3 linked regions of the Arabidopsis thaliana genome follow. The protein of the gene in region 3 purifies or fractionates together with the protein of the main gene of each other region. This does not show direct contact. Each region holds a gene or a part of one and is shown on either strand. Other genes may lie near its edges.

Region 1 (7,248 bases), on a different chromosome or scaffold from region 3:
ATTAGAACAGAACGAACGTTCCTCGTCATGAGACAATAATTATGGGTCCATGGTTCACATTATACAAATTACAAACTTTAAAGACTGCAATTTATAGGGGAAACCTGAATCTTACATGCATTTTCATGTTTTAAGACTAGACTGGTACAAGTTATGGCCGGTTCAGATGTGGATACTGGTACCGATGACTATTTCTCTTTATTTAATCAAAGTGTTACTAGTTTCATGTTTTGAGACTGGTTCATGTAGCTTTTCTTCAAATAATTTTCACAAGATATTCTAATAACTTTAGGTGGACATAAAGAAAATTCAAAATAAGAAAGAGTAATAAGATCTAGATGTTTGAAGAAACTGCCCAAAACGTTTCTTAAGGATATAGCGTATTCGGATATGCTACCCATTTTGGATTAATCAGATACGATACTCATTTTTTTCAACAATGGATTTAAATTTGGTCTAAAAATAATTAATCCGATGGCGCAATATTAAATAGCGGTCCATTTTGTTTTTATTATTATTTGGCTTATTATTTCGTAATTCGTACCACATTTTCTTCTTTAAGGTCGTTTTTTCTAACTTCTGAAAACTTCGTTGCTAAGAAGTCTTCGTATGTCGTAACGCGTCTTCTCCTCTTTCCTCTCTTATAACACTTCCAATTCAAAGGAAGACAACATAAACTCTTATTCTCTACCTGTCCTCTCTTCTCTGCAACTCGGCCATGGGGAAGAAGCTTGACGCTTTGCTTGGTCGCAGTTTCAAGACCAACAAGTTCAAGTCTCTTATCACCTTAGCTCTCACAAGGCTCTCTATTCTCAAGAACCAGCGTCAAGCCAGACTCTCTCAAGCCATCTCTGATGTCACCGAGCTTCTTAAGCTCGGCCAACATGAGCACGCTTACCATAGAGTCGATCAAGTCGTCAAAGACCAAAACACTCTCGACGTTCTCTTCTTCATCCATGGCTACTTCACTCTCTGTCTCGATCGTATTCACCTCTTTGAACACAACAGAGATTGTCCTGAAGAGCTTCTAGAAGCTGTTTCGGGTTTGCTATTTGCAGCTTCTAGAATCGGTGAATTCCCTGAGCTTCAAGAGATTCGTAATGTTTTGATTTCGCGTTTTGGCAAAGATCTCGCGGCTCGGTCTATTGAGTTGCGCAGTAATTGTGGGGTTGATCCCAAAGTAAGCAAGTTCTCGATTCAACAAATACTATATTCAATACGTTATGTTATATATCTCTCTTGATAGAACAAAATACTTACTGAGTTCCATGTTTCTTTTGGTGTTACTATAGATAATTCAGAAGTTGTCGACAAGACCTCCACCGAAAGAAGTTAGAATGAAGGCTTTGAAGGAGATTGCTGCAGAGAATAACATTGTTCTGAAACTAGACCAAGCTTCTACGTCCACTGAGGTATAGAAATCTGCAATTAACCACCAAGATAACAAAAAGTTGAAAAAATCATGTTCTAATCAAATTTGTAACATTTGCAGGGAACAACAAATATGCAGGGAACATCAGATGTTAGTAAGACTAAGCTAACAAGTAAAGATGGCAGAGGAGAAGGTTATGGTTTATCTGATTCGGTCAAGAGAGGAAAGAAGAAGTACAAAGATGTGGCTGATGCTGCACAAGCAGCGTTTGAGTCAGCAGCTCATGCAGCAGAGGCTGCACAAGCGGCTGTGGAGCTTTCTCAGTTTTCTCCTCGTGGACATGACAGTCCGGGTAACATTGGTGGGGAAAATTCATTTCATGGTTCTGAAAACAAAGAGTCAGAACAAGAACAAGAAGGTAATGATGATTCTTCAGAAGGGGAAGGGGATGTGATGTCAGAATCTAAAAGGTCGATGTCAGATTCAGAAGATATTATTGATGTCCCAGTGATGTCATTCAGAGAAGACCCTGTGAAGCTATTGGAGAAGGATACTATTATCTACGATAGTGAAGAAGAAACCCAACCTAGTGTTGAGACTATTACTATTAGTAAGTCTAAAGATGAGCAAAATCGTATGGTTGGTTCGAATAGAGCGGATACAAGACATGTGGACCACATGGTTCGTTCAATTGAAGATCCTATTATGCGTAAAGCAGGTTTGAAGGGTCCAGTTTCAGTCAGGACAAGACAGGTTCGTGGATACTAAGTACAAATGTTATAAGTTTTTCAGGTGCATCTACGGTGTAATCACTCAGTTTTGTACTTTTCTATGTTCTTTTTGTGGTCAAAGATGTAAGATTATTGTGTTCTTTATGGATATAAGCTTTCAATGATGTTGTACAGTTGCATATGTGTGTGTTTATACAAGAAACGTTTCTAGAAAACTTTGAATCAAATTCGAAGAACTTACCTGAAAATTACTGTCCTCGAGGCCTCTTTTTACCATGTTGAATTAGGTCAGCATATGCCTGGAAACTTAGACCGACATCTTCATCGTATTCAATTCCAAGCTCCTCCTGCAAAGTAACAGTAGTCAAAAATTATGGCGAAGCTGATGTAGTCTGTAAGAAAAAACTCCTGAAGAAATATGAGTTTGCACCTTTAGTTCCTTCACATCTTTGGGAGAATTCTCTGTTACAGTATCCCAAATGTCTCTGAACATCCTCTTACGCTTGCGCCACTGATTAATCTTATCCGCATACATATCTTCAACAGCCTTTTTGTCTTCTGGCCTCACCAATGTAATCCCTTCACGTAGTTTGACCAGTTTCTCTTCCATTTCCTTAACCTGGTACACAGTTGAAATCACTTTATAAGCTATCAACAACCTTACTCAAAGAAAGACAAAAACCAAAAGGTAAGAAAAACATATACCTCTTTCCTTAGTTTGGCATCTTTCTCTTGTATCTCTTCTAGTGTCAAGTTTGACTGCAAACTCTTGATTTCTGCAAATAACATCACAGAACATAACATTATCCAAGCAGCTATATCACATCCTCAAAACCACTGAGAAAAAGTAGTTTTTTCACACCTGATTCCACATCACTGATAGTTTTCTTCTTCTCTTGAAGCTGTTCTTGAAGTTTGGCATTGTCTTCTTTCATTTGAGCAAGTTCTTCAGAGTTTGGAATCTCAAACTGGTCTTGTCTAGCAATGTATATCTTCTGCTTACCATACTCTTTAAACGTGATTTTTCCAGCATCAGCAAGACTATCAAGTGCCTTTTGCACCGCAGTCTTCTTAAGGTTAAACTTTTGTAGAGCATCAGCTGCATTTTGAGTGTTTAGAGGTTTGTTTTGCTGCATCAAAAAAGTACCAACAACACATTCATCAAAATCTAACAACAATAATACAACAGATTGAAACAAAACTTGCAATATATATATATATATATATATATATATATATATAACCTGTATCAATCAATTTTTAAAACCTAGTCAATATCAATAGCTTCAAACGAAAAATTCATGTGTAAACTTATAGCACAAATTGAAACCCAAGTGATTAAATTCCCAGATTCAGAATCATGTGAACATCACTGCGTACCTTAACCTAGACTCAATTTCAAATTCGAATTCTAATTTTTATGGTCGTATCTGTTTGTGATCTCCGTTTAGAATTAAAGCAAAAATGTAGAATCGCAGAGAAGTGCTTACCTCATTGACAAAGTTGAGTACGATAGCTGCAGAAATAAAAAATTCAGGAAACAAGTAAATAAGAGAGAAATCAAAATGAGGAATAAGATCAAAGAGAACTAGCAGATTTTTTTCAGAGATTATATCATTATACCTTCGGTGTTATCCGATTTAGGAGCCATTTTTGTCGAAATAATTGGCGGGAAATAAAAAACCTGAAGCGAGAGCAACTTTTTTCCTTTTCCGATATTTTCTGAGGAAGAAGAAGAGAGTTACTGAGAAGCTTCCTTTATACGAGAGAGATATTAAACGAAGTCGTATTTGTTGGATATATGGGCCTTTATGTATTATACATAAGCCCATTTAGTTCTTATCTTTGACAGGCCCAATTATATGGACACAGCTTGAAGATGGTTTAGCTGCTGCGAAAGACGAGCTCCGGTCTCATTTCTCGTTCTTCTGATTGATAGATCGCTCGGAACTTGGAAAGCAGCGTAATCGGTAAATTCTCGATCATTTCTTCAATTTCGAAACATTTTCCAATTGTATATTGAGAATCTCAAATCGAATTATTGTTTAGATCTTCTCTCTTTATTAGTCTAAGAATGGTAATAGTTTCTCTCTAGATTGGGACGGCACAAAGTTTCAGTTCTCCATTCTAATCATTTTTTAGAGGCTAATGGGTCACCTTTGAATTATCTCAGAGGCGGAATTGAGTTTAAAGTTTGTAACTTTATCGTCTTTTGTATTGATGGTGTCTATGTATGCATTGTGTTTTATTCTGACTTTGTGTACATTTGTGTTTGATTGAAGGTAGGGAGTGATTTGAGTTTTGGTGAGGATGTCTATGGTTGATGAGCCTTTATACCCGATTGCTGTGCTTATCGACGAGCTAAAAAACGATGATATTCAGCGTAGATTGAACTCTATTAAACGGCTTTCTATCATTGCTCGTGCTCTTGGAGAGGAGAGGACAAGAAAAGAGTTGATTCCATTTCTTAGTGAGAACAATGACGATGACGATGAGGTGCTTTTGGCTATGGCGGAAGAGTTGGGGGGTTTTATTCTGTATGTAGGAGGGGTTGAGTATGCATATGTTCTGCTTCCACCTTTGGAGACTCTATCCACTGTTGAGGAAACTTGCGTGAGGGAGAAAGCTGTGGATTCACTTTGTAGAATTGGTGCTCAGATGAGGGAGAGTGACTTGGTTGAGCATTTCACTCCTCTGGCTAAGGTTAGATAAGGCTGGTTTACTTATTTTATCAAATCTCTTTGGTCGATTTTATTGATTCCTTTCCATGCTCTGTCAAACTTAATATTATTAAGCCACTAAAACAGAAGAACATAGATTTTTTGGGGTCCTTTGTCAATTGTCCCCCAAAGTTTGGAAATATGCTTTTCTTGTTCAGTGTTCCCCTTATAGGTGTTTTGGGAAATTGGTAGGTTGAAGTTGTTTACATCCATTTTGGTTGATCTAAGAGAACATCGCTCTGGCTTTAGCGCTCTTTTGGGTTGTGGTTGTGTATGTGACCATACATACCTCGGTATAGGTGCTCGTAATGTGAAACCGACTTAAGCATTACTGAACACTGTCATTGTGTAACAGCGACTTTCAGCTGGTGAATGGTTCACAGCCAGAGTATCAGCATGTGGGATTTTCCATATTGCATACCCAAGTGCCCCAGATGTGCTAAAGACGGAGCTAAGATCAATATATGGTCAGCTTTGTCAAGATGACATGCCAATGGTGCGCAGAGCTGCAGCAACTAATTTGGGGAAGTTTGCTGCTACAATTGAATCAGCTCATTTGAAGACAGACATTATGTCCATGTTTGAGGATCTTACGCAAGATGGTATGCTCTCCCTTATTATATGTTTCGTTTTTCCAGCATATACTCTTACAATTTTCATCAAGCCTAGTTATGGGGGTGGCTGATGTGTAATAGGCAAGTATTAGGGTTACTGCATTGAACACTGACCATTAGCTGAAGTTAAGCAGAATTACGGTTGTCTACATCTCAGCTTCAGTGTCTTTTTATATTATAATATTACAGATTTTAAGTATCTTATTGACATTGATATCAGATCAAGATTCGGTTAGATTATTGGCTGTTGAGGGTTGTGCTGCTCTTGGGAAATTGTTGGAGCCCCAGGACTGTGTTGCACACATTCTTCCTGTGATTGTCAATTTCTCGCAGGTAAATAAATGTGTGAATATGATAAAAAAATTCTATTGATGAGCTTTATGGGAAAGCTGTAAGGCAGATATGTATGAGCTGCTTTATCTTGATTTTTTTCGTCTTTGAGCAGGATAAGTCCTGGCGTGTGCGTTATATGGTTGCAAATCAGCTCTATGAACTTTGTGAAGCTGTAGGACCGGAGCCAACTAGGTAAGCAGTGATGGTTGAAGTTAGTTATGGTTTAATGTAGTATTGACCTTTAGTATGCAATTCTATATCAAACAATAGATTACTGACTTCAGAGGTATTTGGTACTTGGAAGTCCATGTTTGTTGAGTCATCTTAATAAATTTCTTTGAGTCGTTTTTTATACTTTCTCATGTGCCTTATGTATTAAGGACGGATCTGGTGCCTGCATATGCTCGTCTACTTTGTGATAATGAGGCAGAAGTTCGGATAGCAGCTGCTGGAAAAGTTACCAAGTTTTGTCGCATTTTAAACCCTGAACTCGCTATCCAGCACATTCTTCCCTGTGTAAAGGTACACACTTAAGAAGAGTGTGTTGATTTCATATTATGCAAAGGACCAAAATACTGTCGGTGTTTGCTAAGCTTACCTATAAATCTACACGTAGGAATTATCATCAGACTCTTCTCAGCACGTCAGATCTGCATTGGCATCAGTTATAATGGGAATGGCTCCAGTCTTGGGTAAGGTAAGCAGAATTAAAAACCGATACAATTTGCCTCTCATATCATGAATACTGTCATCTATACAAAAATTCATTTGGCTCTATAGTTTGGAGTGTAAGCTCATAATATTCTATGTATTTAGCATCTTAGAGATAAAGATTTTTTCTTTTATTTGAAACCATCTATATATCTTCTTCGTCCTAGTCACTGTCATCTTTAGGAATTTTTTTAACTGTGCCTGGAAGGTTCTCGCAACAATAATCTATATAAGAAAACCTCACTATGTTTTTCTACACAAGATATTTAGTTGGATTTTGCAGCTTTTAACTTGGCATTGATATTCATTTCAGGATGCAACAATTGAGCATCTTCTTCCAATCTTTCTTTCTCTATTGAAAGACGAATTTCCTGATGTACGCTTAAACATTATCAGCAAACTTGACCAAGTGAACCAGGTTTGCTATTGACCAAGTTACTCATCTCTTTGTACGACATTGGGTTTCTATTTTTTCCCACATGTTCAAAGGAGCTGTATCATGTTTTGGTCAAGTCAATGACTACTTGACAGCAAATTCTTTGTCCATCCATTTTTCATAATGATTCGATTTTTTTTCCTTAAAATTGCCAGGTTATTGGGATTGATCTACTATCACAATCGTTACTGCCAGCCATTGTAGAACTTGCTGAAGACAGGCACTGGAGAGTACGTCTGGCTATAATCGAGTATATTCCCTTGTTGGCCAGTCAATTAGGTGTAGGCTTCTTTGATGAGAAGCTTGGTGCTCTTTGCATGCAATGGTTACA
Region 2 (6,450 bases), on a different chromosome or scaffold from region 3:
TCTTCTCCGATTAACTCGATCAATCAAATTAAACGATTTTTGATGAAAAAAATCTAAACAATTAACAAATTTCGAAGAGGTAATCCTTTCCTTCTCTATTATACTTTGTTAGGAAGAGAGAGAGAGATCGAGAGAGAGAGAGAGAGAGTTGTAATGAGATTTGTTTGGATTTTGTGAGGTGGAAGATGATGTTTGGACGCAACAAACGCAGGAACTCCGATCTACTTCAATTTAGAATTTAGGAGTGACAAGGTAAAACAGTCATGTTTGAGAGAGAGAAGTGCCATACTCCACAAAGACTATAAGAAATGCCTAATTAGACAATACCCATCACTTTCTAGTACCAATCTCATAATTGATCCATTGTAAACATGTAACCATATGTTGCTACTTCTTAGTTTCCTGTTTTTATAAATGAATCTCTAGCATATATGTCTCTCATCTTTGTCTTTCTAGAGTTGGAAAGAGATGATCATTGTGCGGGTCATTCATCTTCAAGTATACAAACTACCAATAGATTTCATTCCTAGACAAACAGATTATACTTTAAGCTTATAGTGTTTCAATAGTCTTTGAACTTCTAATCCAATTTATTTTCAGGCTATCACCTATATTATATATTGTTGACGTTTCAAGTGGTAACATTAGGAAAGAGAAGCAGAGGAGTTGATGGTTATGATGAGGATGATGTAAGGTGTAAATGATGATTCTTGAGTTTGCATTATCAGTCATGGATAAGATTATGATCAGAGGAAATAAGTAACTAAGTATGTAGGAGTGGCGTACTAGAAGGATATATCATGTCATATGCTTAATTCACTAAACAAACAATTAAAATTAGGGTTTATTAGCAAACTAGACACTTTTTCAAAAGTTATTTGAGAAGTAGGTAGTTTTTTTTACATATTAGAGAAATAGATACTTCTTTTGCTATTGTGAGATAGAAAATATGTGAGATAGAAGGTATATGACTGAAAAACAAAATAAGTGTTAAATACAATTGTACCCTTTTGTGTTGTGAGAAATAACTTTTGGAATAGGCCCAAATCTTTTAAAGATAATGGATCAAATACTATTTTCATAGCCCAATTAATTTAACATGTTATTTGGCCCCAAAAAAAATTCCAATCGTTTTTGTTTTTTCAGTTCATTTCTTCCAACGGTTAAATTTAACATTATATCACTTTTGTCGATTAAAACAAAATTTTGGAAAATCCTATGGTGTACACAATTTTTAATGGAATACGGAATGGTGTACACCATTAAAATCATGATATTGGTGACAGGATGGTGTACACAATTTTAAATGATTTAATATAATTAAACTTAATGGTGTACATGTTGGTGTACAATATTATGATATACGAGATTTGTGACAGAATGATGTACACAATTTTAAATGACAGCGTGTGAAATTGGTAGACATAACGTACAACATTTAGGGTATACTAATAGGAAATGTATAAACCATTATTTTAATTTACTGGTGTACATCATTTTGTACACTGGATTTGTACACTATTTCAAAAACTTTCAAATACACCAAATTATTCTCGATTTTATAGATTCGGTGTACAATATTTTTAAATATATAACCTATTATTTCAATTTATTGGTGTACATCATTTCGTACACTGATGTTTGTACACTATCTCATAGACTTTCAAGTATGCCAAATAGTTCTCTAGATTCGTGTACAATATTTTTGAAGGTGTACGATAGACGATTTAAAGATGTTACATACCCGCAATAGTAAAATTAAAATCTTAGTATTTTACTATTAAATTTAGTTTAGCTAAATATAACAAAATTAATATTTTAAAATGTATTAAAATTGAAAATGTTAGTATAGTAAAATGTTATAATATTACATATCCGCAAAATGTAACAAAATTAAAATCTTTACAATAAATAAAAAGATTAGTATTTTAAAATGTATACAATGATTGAAAGAAAATATGGGTTTTAGTTGATATCAAGCTCATGAGCAATTCGAAATTGGAGATGTTATTGAGCTGCTTTTAGTGAGGCCCAATTTATTTCATCAAAACAACAGAAGAGTAAAATTGTACTTTACTAAAAACTGTATTAGAAGAGGAGTTCTATTAGAGAAAAGAGATAAAAGTACTCATTCTTCCTATTTCTAAAAAAAGTACCCATTCCTCAAATTACTTTTGCAAAAAGTGCCTACTCTCCAACTTATCTCTTAAAATTATTAAGAGTATTAGTATCTTCTTAGGGAATTAATCGATAATTTTTTCTTAACATACAACTACAAACATATGATTTCTACTTTTAAATTCAAGAATCTGGTAATTTGTTTCTGGAAAATCTAATTTACTTCTATTCATATTTAAAATGTAATAATTCATTTGATATTAGCTTATGGTTAACTAACTTAAACATTCTATCGTTCAGTATAGATCGGGTGTAACCCGGACTATCCCCTTACAAATGGTCAAAATCAACCTAGAATATTTGTTGGCGGTTTTTTCATACCTAAACTACAATACCTAGTAAATATCAACCTAAACTCACTAAAAATTCAGGCTAGACTATATAAAAATAGCCAAAATCCACATATGCTAAAATGGTGTTAGTTAACAGCATAAAGCGTTGAGTCAACCAATACCATGGCAATGACGACGCATCGAAGTTGAGTAAAACAATGTCGTTTCGTGAGTTTAGGGTTCTCGAATCAAAGACTCTTTGGCGATTGCTTTAGCGATTCTTTGATTTGAGAACCCTAAACTCACGAAATAAAGTCGTATAATTACTCATCTACGATGCCCCGTTATTGCCACAATGTCGGCTGACTCATCGCCGTAAGTGATTGATTAACACTGTTTTGGCATATGTTGATTTTGACTATTTTCATATAGTTTAGGTTGAAAATTTAATTTTTTTAGTGAGTTTAGGTTGATATTTTTCAAATATCGTAGTTTGGGTATAAAAAACTGTCGGAAAATAGTGTGAGTTGATTTTAGCTATTTTCCCTTCATTAATAGAAAACATATATATACCACATAGCATCAATTCAAATATATATACCATATAGCATCAATTCAAATAGTAAATTTGACATTAATATCGCTTTATTTTATAATGTGGCTACGTGTTGTCACGACGCAAGAAAAATTTGAAAAGCCCTTGCTAGGCCTTTTAGATTCCTATAGACGTTAATGAGCCCAAAGACTTTCTTCATCTTTCACTACTCTTTTCAATTTCAAATTCCAAAAACCACAGAAAGAAAAAGACGGAGAGAGGCCGTTGCATTTTCCGGCGAGACGACGCTTCTTCGGACGGATTCACCGATCATCGGTTGTTTCATTCTCTGGTAACAGTTTACTGTTTTCGAGTTTTCCGTTTTCTAAGCAATGTTCAAGTACTATCAAGATTTATCGATCGGTTGGTTGCGTGAGAATTGATTTTCGTATTGATCTTCGTTGATTAGGTTTCTTGATGTGAGCTTTACATAATCTATCTATAGAGAAACGAAGAAGGATTTTGGTGTTATGAATGTTTGTTTCTGTTGCTTATTTGAAACCTAACTTAAACCCTAATTTTCTGTTTCGTATGTTCTTCAGCGTCCTCTGGCTTTGTGATTTCAGAACTTGTTTCACTAAATCGTTGCTAAAATGGCTCATTCAAGGAACAATTATGGTAAGAGATCTTGTTTTAGTTAGTTTTCATATTTGATAAGAGGTAAGAGAGTTTTTTTCTGATGATACAGATAATAATGGTGCTGGATTAGAAGATACTGTGTATCGTTACTTGTGTCTTGTGAGAAGAGCAGGGAGTTCTTGGGAGAGGTGGTGAGATTGCAAAATAGATTAGGTCTGAGACTAAAGCAAACATGAGGGTAAACGAGGCATTGCCTGGTTGTGATGAGCGTGTTGTGACTATATATTCTAATAGCGAGGAGAGAAATCGTATTGAAGATGACAATGAGGATTTTGTCTGTCCTGCTTTTGATGCTCTTTTCAAGGTTCATGATATGGTTGTTGTTGAAGAATTTGACGATGATGATGATTATAATGACAATGATGAGTATAGTGAGGGACAAACAGTTGTTACTGTGAGGATGCTTGTGCCTTCTGATCAAATTGGTTATCTTATTGGCAAAGGTGGACCAATTATTCAAACGCTGCGTAATGACACTAATGCTCAGATTCGTGTTAGAAATGATAATCTACCCATGTGTGCTTTGGCATTGAGTCATGATGAGCTTCTTCAGGTAATGTCTTCGAGATTTGAGTTAGTGTGTGTGGTTGTGTTTCGGATTTAGCTTATGAATGTTGTTGTTGGTTGACTTTCAGATAATTGGAGATCCTTCTGCTGTTAGAGAAGCTCTTTACCAAGTTGCCTTTCTGCTTTATAATAATCCGTCACGATTTTAGAACTACTTTCTGTCTTCCTCTAGTAGTACACTGCAACATCAACCTGGTAGAATTCTGATGAATCCTGCAGTAACGACCTCTCATAAAAATTGCTCGTGAGAATGAGGAGATGGTCCAAGTAATAAATCATGACCACCCTTTATTGCCTAGTGCTTGTCGATTTTGTGTGTTTGAAAGAGACCCTTAAACAATGTTTCTTTATCTTGTGGTTTTAGATAACAGGAAGTCTTGATGCAGCAATCAAAGCTCTTACACAAGTGATGCTGCGTTTAAGAGCCAATGTATTTGACATGGATCGTGGTCTTGTCTTGCTTCCAACTTTATTTCCTTATATTTCTCAAACAATATAGACTTCGAGCAAGTCTAGGCACAGAAAAGGCGAGAACCATCCTCATGGTTCAGAGGAATTTGCTAGGAATGAAGACTATGGTCAAATGGTATGATTGTCATAAAAAAATATATGATTCTGGTAACCAAATTTACTCATAGAGATTCATTTTTGATGATGTCTGTCTATTTTCTTCTTTTGCAGAACGTAAATTCCCCAATAAGAAACCGAGTTTATTGATCACCAAACCATGTCAAAAGGTTATCTTTCTATGTTCTAAACACTTAGATTCTGGAATATACTTTTTATAAAATACTTGGGCGTTTTTTTGGAATCCAAGAAAAAAGAGGATTCGAGTAGTTTTGCGCCTCAAGAATCTACAAATGCAGGAAGTTCTTAAAAGAATGATATATATATTTTTTTGTTTTTGTCATCTTCATGAAAGAATACAATGTTTCTTTCATTTTTCGTATTCGTATTTAACTATATTTGAGTAATCTTGTTCATCATTAGTGGTTCCAAAGCACTGTTATGAACTCGGACGCGTCTTTGCTACTAAGTGTGTCTAACTTGCAGCCAATTGTTCCAATGGTATGATCCACTTAAAAGTATAGTTGATTTTCATGTATTTTAATCAAATGGACCAAGACCAGTGGAAAGAGTCACATATAATCGGCTCCCTTCTTTTCTTTCCGTTTACTGTACTTCCATAAGTCAAATTTTGTTTAGATGTCACACTAATATTTTGTTTTTTTGTGTGTAAAAACTTACTAAAAGAGAAAAAAAATACTAAAAACTATACAATATAATACTTTTACATTGATTATTTATTAGGTCTTTAGCGAATTTTTGACATTGATTTATATGTTTCCAGTTTTGTTATCCGTTGAAGGAGAAAAGTATCGGTTACCATTGTATTGACTAACCATAAAAGAAAACAGATATGCATGTGTGATGTGGTGATGAATGCAATAATCAACCAATTAAAATGCGAACGTAATGTCATAGACACGTGAGCGTTACCAATGAAATAAGTCTGTCACGTAATTAGGTCACAGTCCCGTAACTTTCGTGGTCTTCGAGTATCTTAATTTTCTTTCCTTAACTCTTCTCTTTCTCTTCTTCTTCTTCTTCATCTTTTTTTTTTTAACAGATCTGGTGGAAATTTTATCTTTTGACCCCACCACTGGATCTCTCTATATACACATTCATCTGAGTAATAGAGTAAAAACGAAACACAAGAAGCAATTATGAAGAATTGTGAGAGATTTGCTAATCTCGCTCTCGCAGGTTTTTCTCTCTTTCACTCTTACAATTGTTACAATTCGTCTCGTGAATTTCAATTTTCGATCGATTTTTACGATCATGTGATTGTTTCGCGTTATGGGTTTCTTCTGATTGTGATTTAGGCTTCGAATTTGTTAACTTTTTCGGTTTTAGGTTTGTTCTTAGAATTTGCTGGAAAATATTTATTTTTTTGTTCGTTTTAGATCAGTTTGGTTTCTCTAGGGTTTAGGCTTGATGGGTGTGATTGATTGTTTTTGATTATGGTGTAAAGATTCAAAACTGAGTGGTTTTTGTTTTTGTTTTGGTTACAGGTTTGACATTGGCACCACTCGTTGTGAGAGTAAATCCAAATTTGAATGTTATTCTCACAGCATGTATCACTGTTTATGTGGGTTGCTTTCGTTCGGTCAAGGATACTCCTCCAACGGTAAGACA
Region 3 (7,090 bases):
TCTTTCCCGAAGGCAGAAGTGGTCCTGAATATGCTCCTGAATACACTAGGAAATTAAACACTCGTTTTCTTTCAGCATTAATTCTACCTTATTAAATTTAAATCTAAGTAAAAGACACTCTGTACTTACTTATTTTGCTTTCCCTTCGCATGATGCATATGATAGCCAAGGCGGCAATGAGAATAATCACTAATGTGGATACAACTATTGGCACCATGATTCTGTTCCCGTCCCGACATGAACGTGAGTGACAAATGTTTTGTTCATCGACACTGGAGACAAAGAGGAAATCAATAAGCTTTTGAAAATGGTAGAGACGCGGCAAAATGACTATGGTTCCGTGTACCTGAGTGCAAGTCCATTAGCCGTTGCTCTTTTCCTAAGAGATCTTGGGATAAACCCAGTCAAGTTATTTCCTTTCAAATTCCTGCGACACAAATTAATGTCAGAGACAAAATACTATTTTGATTGTCTATCAATACAAACTCAACGAGGTTCTCTATGTGCTCAACTCACAGGGACTTCAGATATTTTAGATCAGCCAAAAATTCCGGCACAATTCCTTTGAGGTTGTTGTTTGATAAATCCCTGGGAAAACAATGCACACCACTATTATAGTTACTGTGAATAAAGTGGTGGCAAGTTTCAATGTGTTTGTATACTTACAATGACTCAAGAAGGGAGAGATTTCTAAATGCGAACGCTATTGGTCCATGTAATCCACTTGAACTAAGATTTCTTCTCGCAGCAAAATACAGAAACAAGCTCATCAGCAAAACTTAAGTTTGAGGGAAATTACACAATGAGTTTTTTCAGGTTGAAATGAATGAATGACTTACAGGGACTTGATTTGATAACTAGAAGTGTTGTAGCTGCATCCAATACCTTCCCAAGGGAAGAGTCTGGGAGAGCAAGGATCACCAGTCCAAATCTTATTCACTTTATACGTTGATTTTATGCTTTCTATGGCTTGAACTGCATTACCAATAGAAAATGGAAAACTGTGAGTGTCAGTGAAAATTAAAGACCAGAACAAAATATACGTAGACGACTAACAAAGTAGAGATGAACACACCATCGTCAATTCTGGTGTAAAATTCATCCAGAGATTGTGCTGAAAAAATCTCAATAGCATTGAGTATTGGTGGACGCGTTGACTCTGCGGTCTTCTGAACAGAAATCCAGTGATCTTTACCAGTGAAAGCTCGTGAGTTAGACACTGTCATTGAATACTCAGGAGAGGGGTTAAAAGCTCCTGAAACAGGCGACCCATTCCAGAATATCTTGATTTCTCTGCTCTCATTCCTCTTGAGATTTTCAAGTTCTGCAAAATAAAGGTACGCATAAAACCGAGTATCTGGATCGCTTGATGTCCAAGACAGTTCCAATGGTTCATCGTCACTTTTAGGCGAAGCAGCTGTCTTAATAACTTCATCTGGTGGCCTATAACCAGACTGAAAAATATCGATATACCCAGTAGTCATAGTTGTATTCCAAGACACTGGAGAGTACGGAGACCAAATACGATCATATGTATCCTTTTGGTACCGTCCTGTTCCATTCAAATATCCTGTATCCCATCTTTGATAGAGTACCAATGAGACATTTCTTCCAAACTCAGTTCCATAGATGGAGCTGTTCATTGGTCGAAGCTCCAACGCTGAAATAAAAGGAGTTCCTTTACCTTTGTTCACAAGGCAAACATATATTGTATCTGACTCTGCAAAGCTGAGGATCTCCTTGATGACGTTCTCAGAAGCATTTCTGAGTTTCACCGAGGTCCAGAAATTCACGTTTACGTAGAGATCAAACTCAGGTAAAGCATTTTTACCATCGTAGTTTCCATACATAAACGAAGCTCTGATGAGATAAAGATTCCCTTTTCCATCGGAGGGGGTTAAGGTGTAACAGTTCCTGTTTCCTTGAGGAAAAGATCTTACATCAGCAAGCGGGAAAGGCAAAACCGGGTTTTTCGGGTAACCGTATTCTTCAGAGACGTTCAGATTTACTCCAGCGTTGATGAAAGGTGCATCCCAGGTGTAACTGATACCAGTATCAGTGTCTACATAGTTAATATTAGGGGGTGACCCACAATCTATGCTGATGAAACCTGGACCAGAAGAAGGTAAGGGTTTTGATTAATTCTACAACGTTGAGAAAATTTTCATCAAAATTCCAATGCAGGTTTAAATTTTAGAACCTAAAGCATTCAATCATAGAAACAGACTTGGACCTCACTTATCATGTCAAACCAATAATCAGAACACGGTTTTGGCCAAAATGCAACCACATATATCAAAACTTCAAAAATCTTTGGTCTGAAGATTGCTCATTTTCAAATCAAAACAGACTCTAACAGAGGAAAATAAGCGAGAATGAGACTCACGAACCTGCTTGGCCTTGGCCATGTACTACAATGGCAATGGCAATGACGGAAAAAAGGATGAGAAAAACAGAGTGAGCTCCCATGTTCTTCTTATTTTGTAAAGCTCAGCTCATCATCGTCAGAAAAACAGACAACCTGCGTTTAAGATAACACAAAAACACAAAAGACTAGAAAGTACAAAGTCTATGCCCATTTCCTCTTCTGGTAGCAACAAAATTGACCTGGAGGTGTATAACATAAGTGCTGCTCACGACTGAAAAAAGCGGCCAAGAAAGAATATAAAATGGTAATACAGCTATCAAGAAGTAACCAGTGGGTCAACAACTAACGCATGATATATATATAACTCCAATAAAATATTATAACAAAACATAGCCAAGCTTGGACATAGCCGACAGATACAAAGAAAATAAAAATCTTTTCTGACCACAGAATTTGTAACCGAGTTTTGACATTAGATGATTGGGTCACATAGAGAATTACAGACTGTTGCAACCTTTAAAACCAGAAAACTTAAAAGGATAGTGAAAAGATTTTTTACTTAAGCTATTGTTTCTTTAACTGTTATGCTGGAGAGTATTAGAACTAAGCTTCATCTTGTACTAGCTGCTTTGCGGTATCAGCTTCATGGGATGAGCTCAAAGGGAATGATGATAACTCTATGTAATCAAAGTCCTCAGTGATTCCCGCCTGAAAGTTACCCAGCTGATTTAGTCTCTCCTTCATGTATGAGAATGTGAAATGTGGAATTTATAGCCTTTTGAAGTGAAAAGATCTGGAAGATACCTCCGTGTATAGATGTTCTAGCTGTTCCTTGGCCTGGGGGAAGTTGTTTGAACACCATTGTCGCAGTGTGAAGATGTTATCTGAGTAAGTTTGAAAGAATTATAATCTAGGCTGCAGTGAAAATTACGTAAGTATTAAAACTGAAAACACATTCCCAAGTTTTAGAAATGAAATACCTGTCCATCTGTTAGCCGACTGGTGAGCAACTTCAATTGCATTCCCTGTCAAAATTAGAAGGAATATACACATTGATACAGCTAGTAAAGCACAAGATTGATTCTTATTTCTGCTCCACGAAGACCGGGAAAACCATATAGGAGATCTAACACAAAACAAAAGTAACGTATTATGCAGAACTTAACTCTTTGCCTCCAAAGTAGCTGGATCGTTGTCAGCAAATTGTACCATCTCGTTCTGTTTAAGAAGAAGAAACTGTTAGCAACTTGTTAAGCATGTGAATAGCTCTATGCAAACAGATAGTCTGTATAATCTGACCTTCAGATCTTTGTGTTTCTTTTCAATATCTTTGAGTTGCGTCAAGGCCTCTGTTCGTTCCTCCTGCAGCAAGAACAGCAATTCTGGTGAAAAGCACACGTAAGCTTATTCGAGCATTAATTCTACAATACTGAAAATACTTACCGATTCTTCCCTTCCCTTCTTTAGGGCCTCACACTGATCAACAAGTTCTGCTAACCTTTTGTTACTACCCTGAAGATCAGATTCAAGTTTCTGGCGAACACTCCTAAGCTGTTCATTCAAAATGAGATCAGAAACAATGAATTTCGCTATGCTCAAATTAATATGAATCTTTTTGATGTCATCTCAGGATACAGAACGGTGACTCACTTGATTGCCAGCACAGCTGGGAAGGCTCCAAAAGTAGATCTTCATTTGCAAAATAATGAACACCGTCAAACAACATATAACAGAGACAAGGACTATATGGCAACAAATGAAATAAAAAGATCCAACATAGGAACACTAAGCTACTCACAGAAATTCCAATCTTGTCTTTCGCAACAAGATCATCATCGACTAAACTCTGGATAACATCTTTCACAGACTGACTAATTACACCCTTCTTCGGCCCCATCTTCTCAAGTTCCTTTAGCTGAAATTTTTTTACAAAAGTAGAGACCCATAAGTGCTTGTATCACAAACCCAAAAGTTCAATAGCAACAAATTTAGGCAGTATATGCACTTCACGACTCTAGATATCAGATCACTTGGTAGATAAAGCTAGTTCAAAGGCGTCCAAAAATTAGCAAGTTGTAAAAACTAAAGAAAGTGCTCACTAGGAAGAAGTCTTGAGACTCATAGAATATCTGAAGCATCTTCTCTCGTTTCTCCTCCAGCGAAAGTCCCCGTTTCTTAGACTGAATATCATCAACAATAGAAAGCAGCGATTCAGTTGATACGAGAATGACGAAAAAAAACTTCAGAGCTTCAATGACGAAATCCAACAAATGATCTGTCAACAAATAGTTTCCAGATCGAAAATGTCAAAAATATATACAGTCAACTCAGCGACTACACTGATTGCGAGAATTGGCTGCTAGATAAATGCTAATTCGAGAACCTATCGATTCGCGTCATGCAGTCCAAGTGTTTGCGGAAATTCCTCACACAAATTTGTAATGAACTACGGAAGATAGAAACATTACTACCGATGAACGATAAGTTTAAACAAATTTCTTCGAAGAGTAAGAGAAACACATAACGATGACTACTAAACATTCAAACAAATAGGTCGAATCAATACATCCAAAATTCTCTTGTAAGTCGAAGAATCACAAGCTAAGATCATCAGTGTAAGATAATCACGATTCATAGAATCATAGAGAATAATCACTCGATCTTCCCAGGAAAATGCACAAATCACAGAGGTTCATTAGCGAAACAAAATCACAAGTAGAGAACATTCGTCCAGAGTATATTACCATCGTGATCTCTTGCTCCTGGTGATGCAATCCAAAGGATTTCAAACACTGCTACAGCTCTCTCTCACTCTCTTCCCTCACTATCGTCTCCTCTCTTTATCAAATTCGAAATGAGAGAATTGTAGAAGAAGCCTTGAAAACTTAAGCGGGTTATTATCCCTCGCTTTCTGTTTCATTTTTTATTCCAATTAATTTGAATTTAACCTTAAAACGACACGGAGTCCAATTTTATGGTACCAAAACGGCATGATGTTTGTTAAAGCAGCGAAGTCAACGTATATGGTTGACTATTCATGAGTAGTCTTATCAGGCGAAAGTGATGAACATAGGAGTAAAGTGATTATTAACCAAAGGAAAAAGTGTCATAAAAAGATACAAAAATTACAAAAGATAAATTATGTGAAGAACACTCAAATTGCAGATAACATTAACGACGGGGATTATAAAAGTTTTTCGCTCCGAATTAATCTGATTCAGATCCTTATATACATCGTCTGTTCGTGTCTATCAATGCATACATGTCTCTGCTCGGAGAGGTGAATAACCTGCAGTTAAACCAAGCCAATTGCAAAACTAGTTAAATTACAAATCCATAGTCTGTAAGCAAATTGATTGATTTTGCTTTGATTATAGATAGAAGAGACCTTAGAGGGCCATCTCAGCCTGTAATGCAGCGAGTTCTTCTTCCTCAGCAGTCCGCTTCTGGGGAACAGGACGAGCCGGTTGACGCCCTGCAGGCACTGGAACTGAAGGCAATGGAGGAGCTGTTGTTGCCGGCTGTAGAAGTTGCGATTCAAGCTCTTCACTTTCTAGTTCATCAAGCTCTGCTGCAAGCTCATCCTATCAAAGAGAAGTTTTTCTTAGACAAAAGTCATTATTAGTTGAAAAATATATGATCATTTGGGTACAAGAAAGTTACCTCGTCGAAGTCAGCCGCTGCCCCCATTGGAGTCGCCAATGCTTCTTGGATCTGTTTCATGTTCTCGGTTTGCTCATTGATCTCGTCCATGGTCTTATCCACATCATCAATATTTCTGCAAAATATTGTGTTTTGAGTTAGTCAGGCACTAGAAATGTTAAAGCATTCAAGCACAAGAAAAGCATAAGTATTTTGAATACCAAGCTCGTATTAACGATTCCCAGAACTGATGACGGTTAAAATGGTAGTAAAGAGTAATATGGTGAAAATGTGATGAACACTTACGTTGCTTTCTGCATTGCCTTCATTGCAGAAGCTCCACTCCTCAATGCATCAACAGTTTCGGTTGTTGCTTTTGCACCTTCTAACATAATCATCTGTATGACAAAAAGATATAAGATCCCAATAAATTCATCTAATTACTGCTATATAGTTTATAGTTAACAATCTTAAAACAAACTCACTTGATCATGAATACGGAGCTGGAAATTCCCAAGCTGTTCGACTTGTCCCTCATATAACCTCTTCCTTTTCAAACACTGTATAGCCGCTGCAAAAACCCAATACAGCTTTTAAGTACTCCAGTGATTAGCAACACACATGAGTCATAATAAATAAGAGGTCATACCTCGTTTGTTCTTAGCCCGGGAGTATTCTTTTGCCTTCTCAACCTCTGCACCAGCTTTCTTCAAGAGTACTTTCTCCTTTTTCTCTAGCATCTCAAGCGTCTGCAATGAACAAATCAACAAAATTTGAATATGGTTTAAAAGCAAACGATCATATAAATTGTACTCAGAAATCCCCAATTCAATCGTTTTTGAGTATTAAATATAAACGAGAATCGGATTTGAAGTGATGTCTTATGGTGATTTAAGTTTAAGATTAAACAAACAGTACAGAGATCAGTACACAGAGAGATCGATATTTCTTTCAGATCGAACGTAAATTGAGAGAGAGAAGTAGATAAGTAGATGATACCTCGTTAAGCTTGTCTAAAGTTTGGAGAGCATTAGCCTCCTGCTTGGGTTTCCCGAATAGCCGATTCATCATGATTTTGCT

The links. The genes of interacting proteins can lie anywhere in the genome.
Region 1: the proteins of ATMND1 (region 3) and AHP2 fractionate together in Arabidopsis thaliana (co-fractionation; one large-scale study listed by BioGRID). This does not show direct contact.
Region 2: the proteins of ATMND1 (region 3) and AT2G03110 fractionate together in Arabidopsis thaliana (co-fractionation; one large-scale study listed by BioGRID). This does not show direct contact.

What each region holds. Positions count from the first base shown.
Region 1 is NC_003070.9:4,564,514-4,571,761, reverse strand, and holds AHP2 (Tat-binding protein 1(Tbp-1)-interacting protein (TBPIP)), read right to left. Parts: upstream 3,828-7,248; 5' UTR 3,755-3,827; coding exon 3,727-3,754; intron 3,620-3,726; coding exon 3,594-3,619; intron 3,234-3,593; coding exon 2,966-3,233; intron 2,880-2,965; coding exon 2,809-2,879; intron 2,723-2,808; coding exon 2,534-2,722; intron 2,451-2,533; coding exon 2,352-2,450; 3' UTR 2,345-2,351; intron 2,315-2,344; exon of another isoform or gene 2,141-2,314; coding exon of another isoform or gene 1,493-2,140; intron 1,423-1,492; 3' UTR 1,413-1,422; coding exon of another isoform or gene 1,293-1,412; 3' UTR 1,181-1,292; downstream 1-1,180. Other genes in the region: AT1G13340 (Regulator of Vps4 activity in the MVB pathway protein), read left to right, coding at 719-1,180, 1,293-1,412, 1,493-2,140; PP2AA3 (protein phosphatase 2A subunit A3), read left to right, coding at 4,414-4,806, 5,179-5,425, 5,658-5,770, 5,883-5,962, 6,151-6,292, 6,387-6,467, 6,795-6,899, 7,073-7,248. UniProt on the Arabidopsis thaliana protein: Involved in bivalent formation and segregation of homologous chromosomes in meiosis.
Region 2 is NC_003071.7:931,576-938,025, forward strand, and holds AT2G03110 (putative RNA-binding protein), read left to right. Parts: upstream 1-3,221; 5' UTR 3,222-3,337; intron 3,338-3,587; 5' UTR 3,588-3,663; exon of another isoform or gene 3,664-3,733; 5' UTR 3,734-3,856; coding exon 3,857-4,237; intron 4,238-4,319; coding exon 4,320-4,400; 3' UTR 4,401-4,518; intron 4,519-4,615; 3' UTR 4,616-4,837; intron 4,838-4,932; 3' UTR 4,933-5,287; downstream 5,288-6,450. Other genes in the region: SPP (signal peptide peptidase), read left to right, coding at 5,979-6,018, 6,327-6,442.
Region 3 is NC_003075.7:14,381,010-14,388,099, reverse strand, and holds ATMND1 (Mnd1 family protein), read right to left. Parts: upstream 5,265-7,090; 5' UTR 5,116-5,264; coding exon 5,113-5,115; intron 4,644-5,112; exon of another isoform or gene 4,549-4,643; coding exon 4,468-4,548; intron 4,284-4,467; coding exon 4,167-4,283; intron 4,058-4,166; coding exon 4,019-4,057; intron 3,920-4,018; coding exon 3,812-3,919; intron 3,731-3,811; coding exon 3,668-3,730; intron 3,587-3,667; coding exon 3,535-3,586; coding exon of another isoform or gene 3,530-3,534; exon of another isoform or gene 3,394-3,529; coding exon 3,349-3,393; intron 3,253-3,348; coding exon 3,173-3,252; intron 3,077-3,172; coding exon 2,972-3,076; 3' UTR 2,635-2,971; downstream 1-2,634. Other genes in the region: RHS16 (root hair specific 16), read right to left, coding at 1-45, 130-272, 347-427, 517-588, 667-738, 840-975, 1,076-2,110, 2,391-2,469; SNF7.1 (SNF7 family protein), read right to left, coding at 5,758-5,952, 6,032-6,146, 6,317-6,408, 6,496-6,581, 6,660-6,759, 7,010-7,081. UniProt on the Arabidopsis thaliana protein: Required for proper homologous chromosome pairing and efficient cross-over and intragenic recombination during meiosis.